Linked DNA regions of Drosophila melanogaster. The protein of the gene in region 1 interacts with the protein of each later gene in a pairwise test. Each region holds a gene or a part of one and is shown on either strand. Other genes may lie near its edges.

Region 1 (3,757 bases):
GAACCAAGTTAGGCTTCATGTCGAACGAAATAGTAACCATTCCATTCTCCTAATTCTTCTTTTCTAATGAAAACGACGTAAAACTCACTTAATATTTTTAAGAAATTTCTAAATCCACCGAATCCAAAATAAAGAAATTTAAAAAATATTTTTATTAAAACTTAAATTTATAAAATCTTGTAGTTTTTTTACCCATGACGCATTTGATTTTTCTTTTGCGACGCACATTCGATAAGCATCCAAATGAATATGCCGCAAGTGGGAGAGCTTGATGGTGATCTTAGAGGTGTCGCGCTAGTTTGTCTGGTCCAACCAACAAATGTGGAGATTAATTTACTTTGTCAATAATTTGCAACATTAGGCATTGGGCAACAAGGCCTCCGACTGCATTAAGTCATAAAAATAATTGTCATGTTTTAATGGATAGCGCACCACGTCGAATTGGAAATGGGATGGGAGGGCAGAAGTCGGGGGCTGGAACCTTCACAGCTCGGAGGCCAGATCCTTTTGGCAGGTGATCTGTCCGCAACTCGTTTGATGGCATTAGCAAATAATTTAATTAATCGCCATTAGACGAGGGGTTTCTCTGCGCGCAGTCCAAGAAACCGGGTTACTATATCGCAAAAGTTTTGATTTAACGCAGCCGCCGAGCGTGTTTGTCGAACCTTAAAAGCAAATTCTGGTATGTGCACTGGTTAGGCGTAGTTGGTTCGGAATCTGGGTTAGTCCAGCCGTCTAGTTATTGCTCTCTGTGCGTAAACTTAGTGATCAGTTTCATCAGCTTTAGTATGGCTACTTGTTATTATGATCTATTGGTTGGTTGTTTAGTTTTTGGCTGGGAGCTATGTGATAAGATTAATCCCGCCACTTATCCTAATCAACAGGCTCGCTTTCTTTCTCCAACTTGGCGCGAATTGTTCTTTGACAGCGGGATCTCAACAATTCCCGTCTTAGGGCATTGCTCTCTGTTTCCACAGTTTGTATGAGCTGAATACAAGGAACAATCAGACATATATAATTAATGAGAATTAGGATTAAAGCTTACGCTATGGGTTAAAGCAGCTCTTTCCATAGTTTCTGCGTCGGCATCATCATCCTTGGGGTCAGATTCACTGCTAGAGGAGCAGCGCCGGGCCTGCATAGCTTTATGATGCTGTCCGGGATAGTCTTCCTCATATTTGGGCGGTGGGTCGTCATCGTTGGGTAGCGAGGCCGGCAGACTGGTCGCTCCTTCTTCTGATTTTGCCTTAAAAGCGGCTAATTCGTCCCGCAAGGATTGGTTTTGCATTTCCAGTAATTCCACCTTTAAACGAATCATTTTTACTTAAGCTTGCTAATACGTTCTAAAGCGTCTTACGCTCTCAAGTTCAAAATCCATTTCGTCAATAATGTCGTATGACTCATCAAGGGCTCTTTGAAGTTTTTCTACTTTGGCCTTCAGCTCGTTCAATTCGTTGACATCGCTTTGGGCCGACTGCCTTTTCTCCATAGCCATTCGTTGCTCTAGTAGATTTTTAGAGTATTGATCTAATTTTAAGCAAAAATTCCATTTCCTAACACACCTGCATTTCTTTGATCTAAAGAGGACTTCATTACCAAGCCTGTAAGCGTCTTCTGCCGTTTAAACATCTCCTCCAAAGCACGACAACGTTTCACTTTCTCCAGATAAGCGTCATGCAGTTTGTTGTACTTCTTCTTGTGCTTCTGCAGTGTTTCCACCAGACGATCTCGTTCCTCCTCCAATTGGAAGACCATGATCTTGGCCTCCACATTTATGGCCGCATTGGTGCTGTGGCTGGCAGATGCGCGATTTAGTCGATGGCGCAGCAAAATGTTTTCCTCCTCCAGCTCCGCACTTCTGGACTTTGCTGCAAAGGAGTTTCAATACATGGCGTATACGCAACGACATTGCTCATACGCACCGGCAGCCAGTTCTGCATAGAGAACCTGCATGGTAGATGTAGCACGTTTCTCCATTTGTTCGATTTGTATTACTTCAATTCGTAGTGGTAAAAATTACTCAGCTACTGAAAAATCTTTTGTTGCTGAAAACAGTAAAGATAAGCTATCAGCGAGTTGAATTGCGTGGATATCGCTGGCAGAGTTACTTTGTTAAGTTATTCGATTGCTTACGAACATATAGAATCGATCAAATTTTAAGTCTTAACAATTTAATTAACACTATTATTTTTTTTACCTATGTGGAACCCAAATTGATGGAAAAAGTTTTTTGTATTAATCATCAGAAATGCTAATCAAAAGATAGGCTCGTTAAAAATTAATTATTTCTTGCTCGTCTTGTTGCTTAAATAACAATGTTAATTTAAATATTATATGGTGAACCAAATTTATAAAAAAATTTTTAATAAAAATGTTATCTATATTTAAAGTACGTTAGGTTTGTGTCTTGGATATAAGATACTTGCAAACATCATGGTCACACCATTTATGTAGTTCCCTAATTCGAGTACCATCTTGTAGGGGCGCCACTGTGCCAAAATTTCAAATAACTAAAAAATTCGTTAAAAATAATGTCTTTTAAGAAAAAACAAATTGACTTGTTTAATGCAGTTTTGGTTTATTTTGTTTTTCATTTTAGGAGTCTCATTGTTTTCATTTCATACATGTCCTTATTAGTTTATTTGCAATATTTCTCTAAGTAAAAATATGTATTCCTTAAAACACACTTTTTGAGTAAACATATATATGATATATATATATATGATCTTTTGCACCTAAGACTCACTTTCTGTAGTCCGTTTTAAAATCGCTCTTCAATAATGTATAAGTTATGTTGTACAAACACATATCCCGATACGAATTATTAGCTACGCGTAGGTACTTATTAACGTACAATTGTATACATATATTTCTTATATGGATGTATCTATTTAGTGCTCGAGGAGCTCCTCTCTGCCTCCTTTCCTACTGTATGTGGCTGGTTGGTGTAAACATAGAAATAGTTGCTACTAATTAACCTAGATTGCATCACTTAGGACTACTGGGGGTCTTGCACTCGGGCAGTGCGTAGGAAAACAACCGGATGGATCGATTGAATTCCCATTTCAGTTGAGATACTGATATTATCCGCGTGTATATTTAATTGATATTTTTAAGGCATTATCGCATTTAAAGTACATCATTCGGTTTTAAAATCTAGGCTAGACACTTGATTTTCTCGCTACCATTAAAACAGGGAATTTAGGATTTTTCATAAAACTATTCCAGACCTATTCTTCATTCGAACCCATCGCTATTTTGTCCACAAAGATTCTCTAAATGATGTATTTGCATAAGAATTACATTCAGCGTATTTTCACTTTCTTTCTAATTCAACGTTTTCGTTAATTTTTGTTTTCTATACTCACAAATTGTTTCACAGCACAATTTCCATTGACAATGGTTAAATGTTCGGATTATTAAAACATTGTAATTCGCTATTCGTTTCTCTTTTCTTTCGCCAACTGATTCTCAGTCAATCGTTAAACTTCGAAACCGAGATTGCATAAAGTCGAAATAAAGCGAAACGTATGCAGCAGACTTCAAACACTTAATCGACTTTTTACGGATCTAATCTACACTCCACTAAAATACAATACAAAATATTCCTATCACAACGATCTACTCCTACCTTAAAATATGCTAGTTGCTTTCTAGGATTTCTATTCTATCGCCTGGTTACATAAATATTATCTGCAAGGATTCGTAATCGTATCTGACTCGGATTCGAATTCTGGTTGAATGTTGTATATATCAA
Region 2 (3,757 bases), on another chromosome or scaffold:
TAATTCTCCATATAGTAGCGGGCCACGGCTGCGATATTCTTAAAGTGGAGCGTGTGCAGGCGCTCGTGGAACTCATCCGGCGACAGTTCCTGGTGCATATCGTGTTCGAGCTGCAGGGCCTGGGACAACTTGCTGACCGAGGCGGGAGTGGCTTCTGCCGCCTCCTCCACCTCTTCGGAAGATCCTGCCGCTTGGCCAGCTAAAGCAGATTCTTCCTCGCCAGCCGGTGAGCGCTTTTTGGTTGATCCAGCCTCTGTAGCGTTTCCTCGTCGGCGCAAGAGATGGACGATGCGGTACCGCGGCGCCCGACAATTCTTCAGGATGTCACACAATGCCTGGATCAGCAGGTTCTGCGATTTGTCGAGGGAAATCTGAATAAATGTGGAGATTAGCGCGGTACGGTACTCAAGTGGTAGAAGTTGACCAACCTCCGAGAGCTTGATGCCTGGCAAGTCCATGATAATAATCTTAAGCAAGTACGCCTGCACCGGCGCTATCACAGCACAAGGACCGCCCTGCTTCTGCACCAATGCAGACGGTTCCACTTTACTAAACTCGAATCCTGGTGGAGAAATAAGTGTAAGTAAAATTAGAAGATGGGTACTGCAATGTGAAAAGTGGAGAAGGAGTACAAGAGGACAGCCTTCCTTACCAGCCTTCATAAAGCTACCAAATCTTATATTCATATCTAATAACTGGGAATAGCAGCAAAAAAAAAGCTTTGATAACAAGGAATGGTACTTGAATGATAATACTCAATACTCACAGAGCATTGAAATGGGACTTATTTATCTCAAAATTTGATGACAGGTTAACTAATTAACTTTGTCTATAATCTCAGTTAGTCATTAAATACTACAACTACTCGTGCCACTAAAAGAAGTAATCAATTAATGCCCAATTATAAGAATTGAGATATGAAAATGGAAATACAGACGCGGAGTATTTACAATCTTCATGTTTGCTTCTTGACAGCAATGCTTTAAACATGATCTGGGATAAGTTTCTATTCTTAGCGAAAAGGCAACTGATTGTAGTTGGAAAAACAAGAGTAAATATGAATGAACATGACCTGGGCCAAGTTGAAGATAAAAGCGCCCATTCCAACTGGACGCAGCCTTGCCGAGCGCAAAAAGGGCGCGCTTTTTGCCCCACAATGGGTGGTGGTGCATACTATGTGCATGGGGTATGGGAAGATGAGGAGATGGGTGGTTACCTTGAGACCAACGCTTGAATACATCTTCGCGCACATTGTCGCCCCACAGCAACTGCTTGATTTCGCGCAGTTCGCGCATATCGGTGGCATTCAGCATCGGTTGCTTTTCCTGCTGGCTGGACGACGATGCAGGTGCAGATGCGGATCGAGAGGATGACGAGGCGGATGCACTTGCTCCACTGGTGCGAGGGCTGCTGCTGGCGGTCGTGATGGTGGTCGTCTTGTGCGATTCCAAGGCCGCCGAGGCAAACGTCATCGACGCTGTCGACGCTGACGCCGCTGCCGTTGCACTTTTCGCCGAGACGGAGGATGGGGAATCTTCGCCGCCGCGCTGCTCCCGCACGATTTTCTCGTTCATCTCCGATGAAATCAACGGCTGCACTGCTTTTACTGCTCTGCTCCGCTCCGTTTGCTCGCTCGTTCGCACGGTCGCTCCTCCACTGGTGGTCAGCTCCTACTCCTTCTGCTGCTCCTAGTCCTCGATTTCGGATTCACTCTTTTAGCCCACCAACTTGGTTGGCATTTTTGGCTAGACCAGATGTTATTCGCTTCGCGTCACCCGATTTCCTATGTACAAATCTATTTAATAAATTTTATTTTTTCTTGATTGATATCGATAGCAGGAGGCGTTATTTGGCACAGCCAATCGATTGACTAGTGCAACAGTGTGGGGCAATGTGGCCAGAGTGTGCGCAAATACGTAAACAATCGATTGGCGGTCTGCAAATACGAACCCTAGCAAGCAAAGCTTACTAATTTCTAGGTCTAGAGATTGTTTAATTTTAAGCTTTACCTTTTAAACTTCTCTTTTTCTAAGTGTTATTTGACAAAACAAGCGATTACTTATGGAAGTTATTACAAATATTACAAGTCAAACTGGTTGTAACATTTAAACAAAGCAATCCCTTTGCAAATTCAAAAAATATACTAGATTGTGTGCAAAAATCGATAACATAGTTGTGCCAATCAGGGAATAGTCCTGAACAGAGTTGTCGCCCCATCTAAACCGAATTTAAATTCGTTACGAGAAAAACAAACCTTTTTTATGTTTTTTTCCTTTTTGTCCTGTTTTTTTCTTTTTTATTTGAGTGTTTTTTTTGTAATTTTTTTCGTTTTGTTTTCATTGTTTTAAAATGTGTTCATTTTATGTCCTCCCTTGCGGTGTATATTTTAATTTTCCTCGTTCATGTATCTGTATTATTTTGGTTTTCTTTAAATATAGTAGATATATTGCATATTAAATTAGTTAATAATAATGCGCTGCTCTAGCCCTCTCTTCACTCTATCTCTCTCCCTCACTAACTCAGCTTCTTGCTTTTCGGACCATTTGAAAACGAATAAAATTCGAAAGAGACTGGTTCAAAATTTTTACATTGTTAAAAATCATTCATATACACTATATCTCGGTTCGTTTATAATTTAGTTCATTAATGGTCATTTCGGTTTTTTTTTTATTGTTGTATGTTTGAATATATAAAATAAGCTTTTTAATTTCCATTTTTGTTATTCTTTCTGCTCATCGAGTCGTTATTTAATCATTTATGTATAATTAGTTATTTCCGTGTTATATTCTTGTTTACAATTTGTTGCTATTTTTTAGAGAAGATTTCGGGTTTCATTTAGTTTTTACTTTTGTTCGTCTGTATTAGCTTGATTTTGGCAGAGTTCTTGTTTTCTGTGTCTTTGTGTTTCGTCTGTTTGTAAAAAGTTTTTAAGTTTACTTAAGAGAAACATATTTTTTATTTTTAAAGCACATTTGCTTTGCTGGGTGTGTATGTGTTGTGTCCCTATGAATTGTGTTGTGTGTGGCAATGAATTAAAGCTTTGCATTGTAGTGGTATTGGTTTCAGGGGGCGTGGCTGGGGGCTGTGGCCGAATAGTGGAGACAGTTTAAAATTAAAAAAAAAAAAGCCCACCAGAATAGTGTGTTGCTTGATATTTACAGCGATTGGTAAATAAAACATGTATGCTTTTGTAAAATTAGAAATTCAATTAAAAATTTGTCGCTCTCCAATCTGTTTTTTTTTTTTATATTCAAACTTTCAACTCGCCGCGGCATCTCAGTGTATAAATATTTTCTGTTGCTTAATTTAATATTCTATTTTCCGCTCTCTGTATTTATTTTTATTTATTTTTTGTTTTCGTTAAAAAGAACACTTTTGTAGCGTTTCTACGATTGGTTTTTGGTTTAATTTTATTTTTTCCGATGTCGAATAAAACGCTAAAATACGCAATGTAAATAAGTATTGTATATATATATATATTTATATATGTATGTATATATTTTTTTGTATATAATAGTTTTTTGCATGTTTCTGTAGGCGTATATATAAATAACGTCGCTTCGTGTATGTATATATTTTATGTTAAACTTTGCGCGTTTTCCATTCGTTTTTGTTTAAACTTTTTTAGCAAGCAATTTATATATTTATATTTTTAATATTTTATTTTTACAGTGCAAAAATGTACAAAGAGCCATGAGTAGAGAAAGGTGCCAATGGGGGAATCCCCGGAATGGAAGTTAATCCCACTCCCTCCTTA
Region 3 (3,757 bases), on another chromosome or scaffold:
CTGGAGATGCATATGGTAGTCTAAAAAGACCCTGCAAGGAACACAAATAAACCAATAAACTACTTTCTTTAAAAAGATCGCTGCCCCACTTACTTGCTGGTGAACACATCGCCGCACTTATGACAGTAAAACCAGCTCATCTTCCAGTGCTCCATGTAGTCGTGCTTCATTAGAGCCACTAGGGTGTCCGTCTGGTAGCCACAGTCAGGCGTGAAACAAGTGAATGATTTCAGTCGCACCTGCGTCTTGAGCAGGTCCAGTAGGTAAAGATCTGAAAACGGATAGCAAGACTTTTTGATACAGAACGATAACATATTTCAAAGGATATTTACCATACTCCTTGTCGGTGGTCATGTGCGTTTCCACCATTCCGTAGTCTCCGTACAAAAGGGAGAGATTACCAGCGCTGTTGCTATTGCTGCGGCTGTGGTTAACAATCCAGTCGCCAGTAAAGTTCATACGTCGCGCGTACATGGCATCCTCCTCGCCCTCTTCTAGTTCCTCCCCACCGCTTTCTATCTCTTCATCTTCTTCGTCCTCTTCCTCCTCATCCATGTCGTACCTATCCCAGGCTTCGGAGCATGCCCGTGAGCGAGAGCGCATCGAGCATGCCCTTGGCACCCGGGAAGTCATAACGGTTTGGCCAGCTTCCTGCTGCTCCACAATTGCTAAGGCCTGTACAGAAAAAACGGAACATATAAGTATATCATTTTTGGGGGATACATGCATACTAACCTCCTGCTTGGCCTGGCAGATGGTGTGATGCATTTCCCACTCGTACTTCGTGTCCAACTGGGCTTCGCACAAATCACACGGATATCGCTGCTGATGCTTCATTCGCTCATGCTGTCGCTTACTGATTAAGGTCTCAAACTCTGCGTCGCAATGCCGGCAGTAGTATATGCGCGATGATCGGATGGCTCTGGATGGCGCCTCTTCATCATAGCTCGCCTCATTTAGTACCCGGCATTTGACGCGCGATGGACGTGGCTGCTTCCTGCGCGTTTTGGAGCAGCGCCTCAAGTGCTGGGCGTAGTAATCCCGTCGAAAATAGGCCCGACCACATTCGTGACACTCCAGCCGTGTTCGCCATTTCCAGCCCTCCGCATGCTTCTCTTCCGTTTCCTTGGCCGATGGAGAATATGGTTGTTGAGCGAGGTATACTTCCAGCACGGAGCAGGAAGAACGCGAGCGAACGCTCTGCCCGCTGTGGGCCACCTCCTCCTGACTCTCAATCAAGGTGGTCGACACCTCTGCATCAGCAATGGGTGGACTGTGCTGGCTGGGCGATGTCGTGGTGGTTGTCACCTTGGTGGTTTCACCACCGGAACGCTGCAGCCGTTGCATGCGCTGCATCAGGGATCGAGTGACCTCCGAGTGCATGTTCAGCTTGCACACGCACTCCACGCAAATGGCCTTCAATGTGGATCGGATTACATCTGCCTGATAATTAAAGAATTCGAATTCAAAGAGTTGGCATGGATGTCGGAATTGGATGATGTCTTGAGTACCCACATGAATCTTCCAGTCGCGACTTAGGCGACGTTGCATTACATGGTTGGAGCGCAGATCCAAAAGCGCCGATGCCTTGGCGGCACCACAAACGGTGCAGTTGGCATCGTTGGCCTCCGCTTCCCGCTCGGCGCCTACGTGGTTCTCATCCTGATCCTGCCGATTGTCATGTTCAACGGAGCAATTGCCGTTGGTGCTGCTGGGTTCCGGATCCGGAGCCGTGGCATCCTGCATCCTGCTGTAATAGGGGCGCTACTGGATAACAAATGGCACACTCAATATATTGCACTTGATCCTTATGTCATTACTGTGCCGCATTAGATGCGTGAGTCGAAAAACTACACTCAAATCCGCCGAATTCCAAGTGTTTTATCTAGTAAATATTTTTTGAAGAGCAGAATGCAGTGTGACCGTTGTTGTCATTGAGAAAATATACCACCGGACACTTTAAAGGTCTGGCAGCACCAACCGGTTATTTCAGTTAGTTTTAAATTAAGATAATTCAATTTTGGATTCGACATTTTCTAATTGCTTTATTTAATACATATAACTTAGCGAATATAATACATATGTACTTTCTAAAATTGATCACATTAGTGAGCATATCATTTAAGGGAAACACAAATCAAACAAAATTTCTATATGTACCACAAAACAATACACTACAGAAATAAAATACAACGCACTTTCGAAACGAGAAACATAAATTTGACGACTTTAAAGAAAAAGTACAATTGTGAGCCCACAAGAGGCTTATGCCGTTTGCAATCATCAAGTGGTTTACATAGCAGTGAAAAGTGCTTACTTCGTACTTGATAAATTCATAATCAACACAATCTGTGCACAATAAAGTAGAGCCCTTAAATTTTATTACTTTATTAGCTCCATCTGGACATGAATTTTCACCTGGGCGGTCTCTATCAATTGTCAAGTCCAAAGGTTCTTGCGATATAAGAAAACACCCCTATTTGTTACTTAGTTTTGCGAATTCGTACTAATTTATTAAAGTTTTGAGGCCAAGACCCGAATGTGGGTATGGGGCGCTGGTGGATTATATATCGGTCGGCCCTGTTCGTCCTTGTAGTCAGCATAGGCCACCGAATGGATGCACTCACATCCCGCTTTCATCGCCGATCGGGAGGAGTAGTGATTGGTGCCACTGCCGATGAACAGACGGAGTCCCCGCAGGCGACCCAATTTAAAGAGACATTTGGAAAGTATGACCAAGATACCTCTTTGCCTCATTGAGGGGTGAACGGAGATGACCAGCAGACTCAGGTAGGAGGAGACTCCGAAGCGTTCGAAAATGTTGGCTTCGCGCTCCACTTTGGCTATAAATTTCCTGCTGCGACCCAAAGCATTTGGCTCCATTTCCTCGGCTTCCTTGTGCTGCTTGGCCATTTCGATGGGATCCATCGTCTCCGCCACGGCAATGCCAACCAGTAGTCCCCCGTTGTTATCGTCGAGTGCCACTATGGATAGTCCCTGCCTGATCACCGCCAGGTATTGCCTATCCACTTCCTCCTCATGCTGCAGGTGAATGGGCTCCTCGAGACCCATTCCCATGGGCTCGTCGTAGTGAAAGTAGTCCGTCATGAAGGTTTTCACTCTTGGATAGTCGTCCTCCTTCATAACTCGTACGGTTATGCCATCATTTTGACTAAGAATCATGTTGGACTGAGCAGCGATGTTTGGTTTCCCGGCTTGATAAACTATGGTTCATTCTACATGACTGCAGGAGCCTTTTAAAGAAACCGAACTGAGTTATCAACAAATACAAGCATAATAACTTTTATTATTTTCTATATTCAGATATGATATGATAGATAATGTTTGCGTGCCATTTGCAAAAAATGAACATGCTTTTATTCAGCCTTTTAATCTACCGATAGGTCTAATCTGAGGCACATTTTCTTTTATGCAGGAGCTAATCGTAATTCTTCTACTCCTGGTTTCAGATACATTTTAAAATGGCTAAGTGCATAACAATTATAAGATTTATAGTCTAACAAAATTAGTAAACATTACCAAATAACTTGTCTATCGTCTTCGGAAGGAGATTTCTCAGGATTCGCTGAGCACTCAACCGATTCCGTGCGCACCGGTTGTCCCGGACTACTGACCATATAGGCAAACTTTCCATTATCCCTGGCCATGCCAGTACCATGGCACCTGACTGCGTACGTTCCAAGCCGGTTTGCAACGATAACGGCGACTTCGAAATACTTTACGTGCTTCTGGATTC

What was found.
Region 2: the proteins of CG17855 (region 1) and CG7332 interact in a two-hybrid assay, tested with the Drosophila melanogaster proteins (one large-scale study listed by BioGRID).
Region 3: the proteins of CG17855 (region 1) and CG11906 interact in a two-hybrid assay, tested with the Drosophila melanogaster proteins (one large-scale study listed by BioGRID).

Annotation. Positions count from the first base shown.
Region 1 is NT_033779.5:9,538,864-9,542,620, reverse strand, and holds CG17855 (uncharacterized protein), read right to left. Parts: upstream 2,099-3,757; 5' UTR 1,978-2,098; coding exon 1,923-1,977; intron 1,869-1,922; coding exon 1,563-1,868; intron 1,504-1,562; coding exon 1,358-1,503; intron 1,304-1,357; coding exon 1,046-1,303; intron 988-1,045; coding exon 874-987; 3' UTR 141-873; downstream 1-140.
Region 2 is NC_004354.4:18,882,634-18,886,390, reverse strand, and holds the start of CG7332 (uncharacterized protein), read right to left. Parts: upstream 1,879-3,757; 5' UTR 1,575-1,878; coding exon 1,217-1,574; intron 563-1,216; coding exon 429-562; intron 372-428; coding exon 1-371. UniProt on the Drosophila melanogaster protein: Hydrolase that can remove 'Lys-48'-linked conjugated ubiquitin from proteins.
Region 3 is NT_033778.4:19,282,037-19,285,793, forward strand, and holds the start of CG11906 (uncharacterized protein), read right to left. Parts: upstream 1,926-3,757; 5' UTR 1,747-1,925; coding exon 1,516-1,746; intron 1,444-1,515; coding exon 736-1,443; intron 676-735; coding exon 333-675; intron 272-332; coding exon 94-271; intron 32-93; coding exon 1-31. Other genes in the region: AANATL5 (arylalkylamine N-acetyltransferase-like 5), read right to left, coding at 2,515-3,183; CG10474 (uncharacterized protein), read right to left, coding at 3,537-3,757.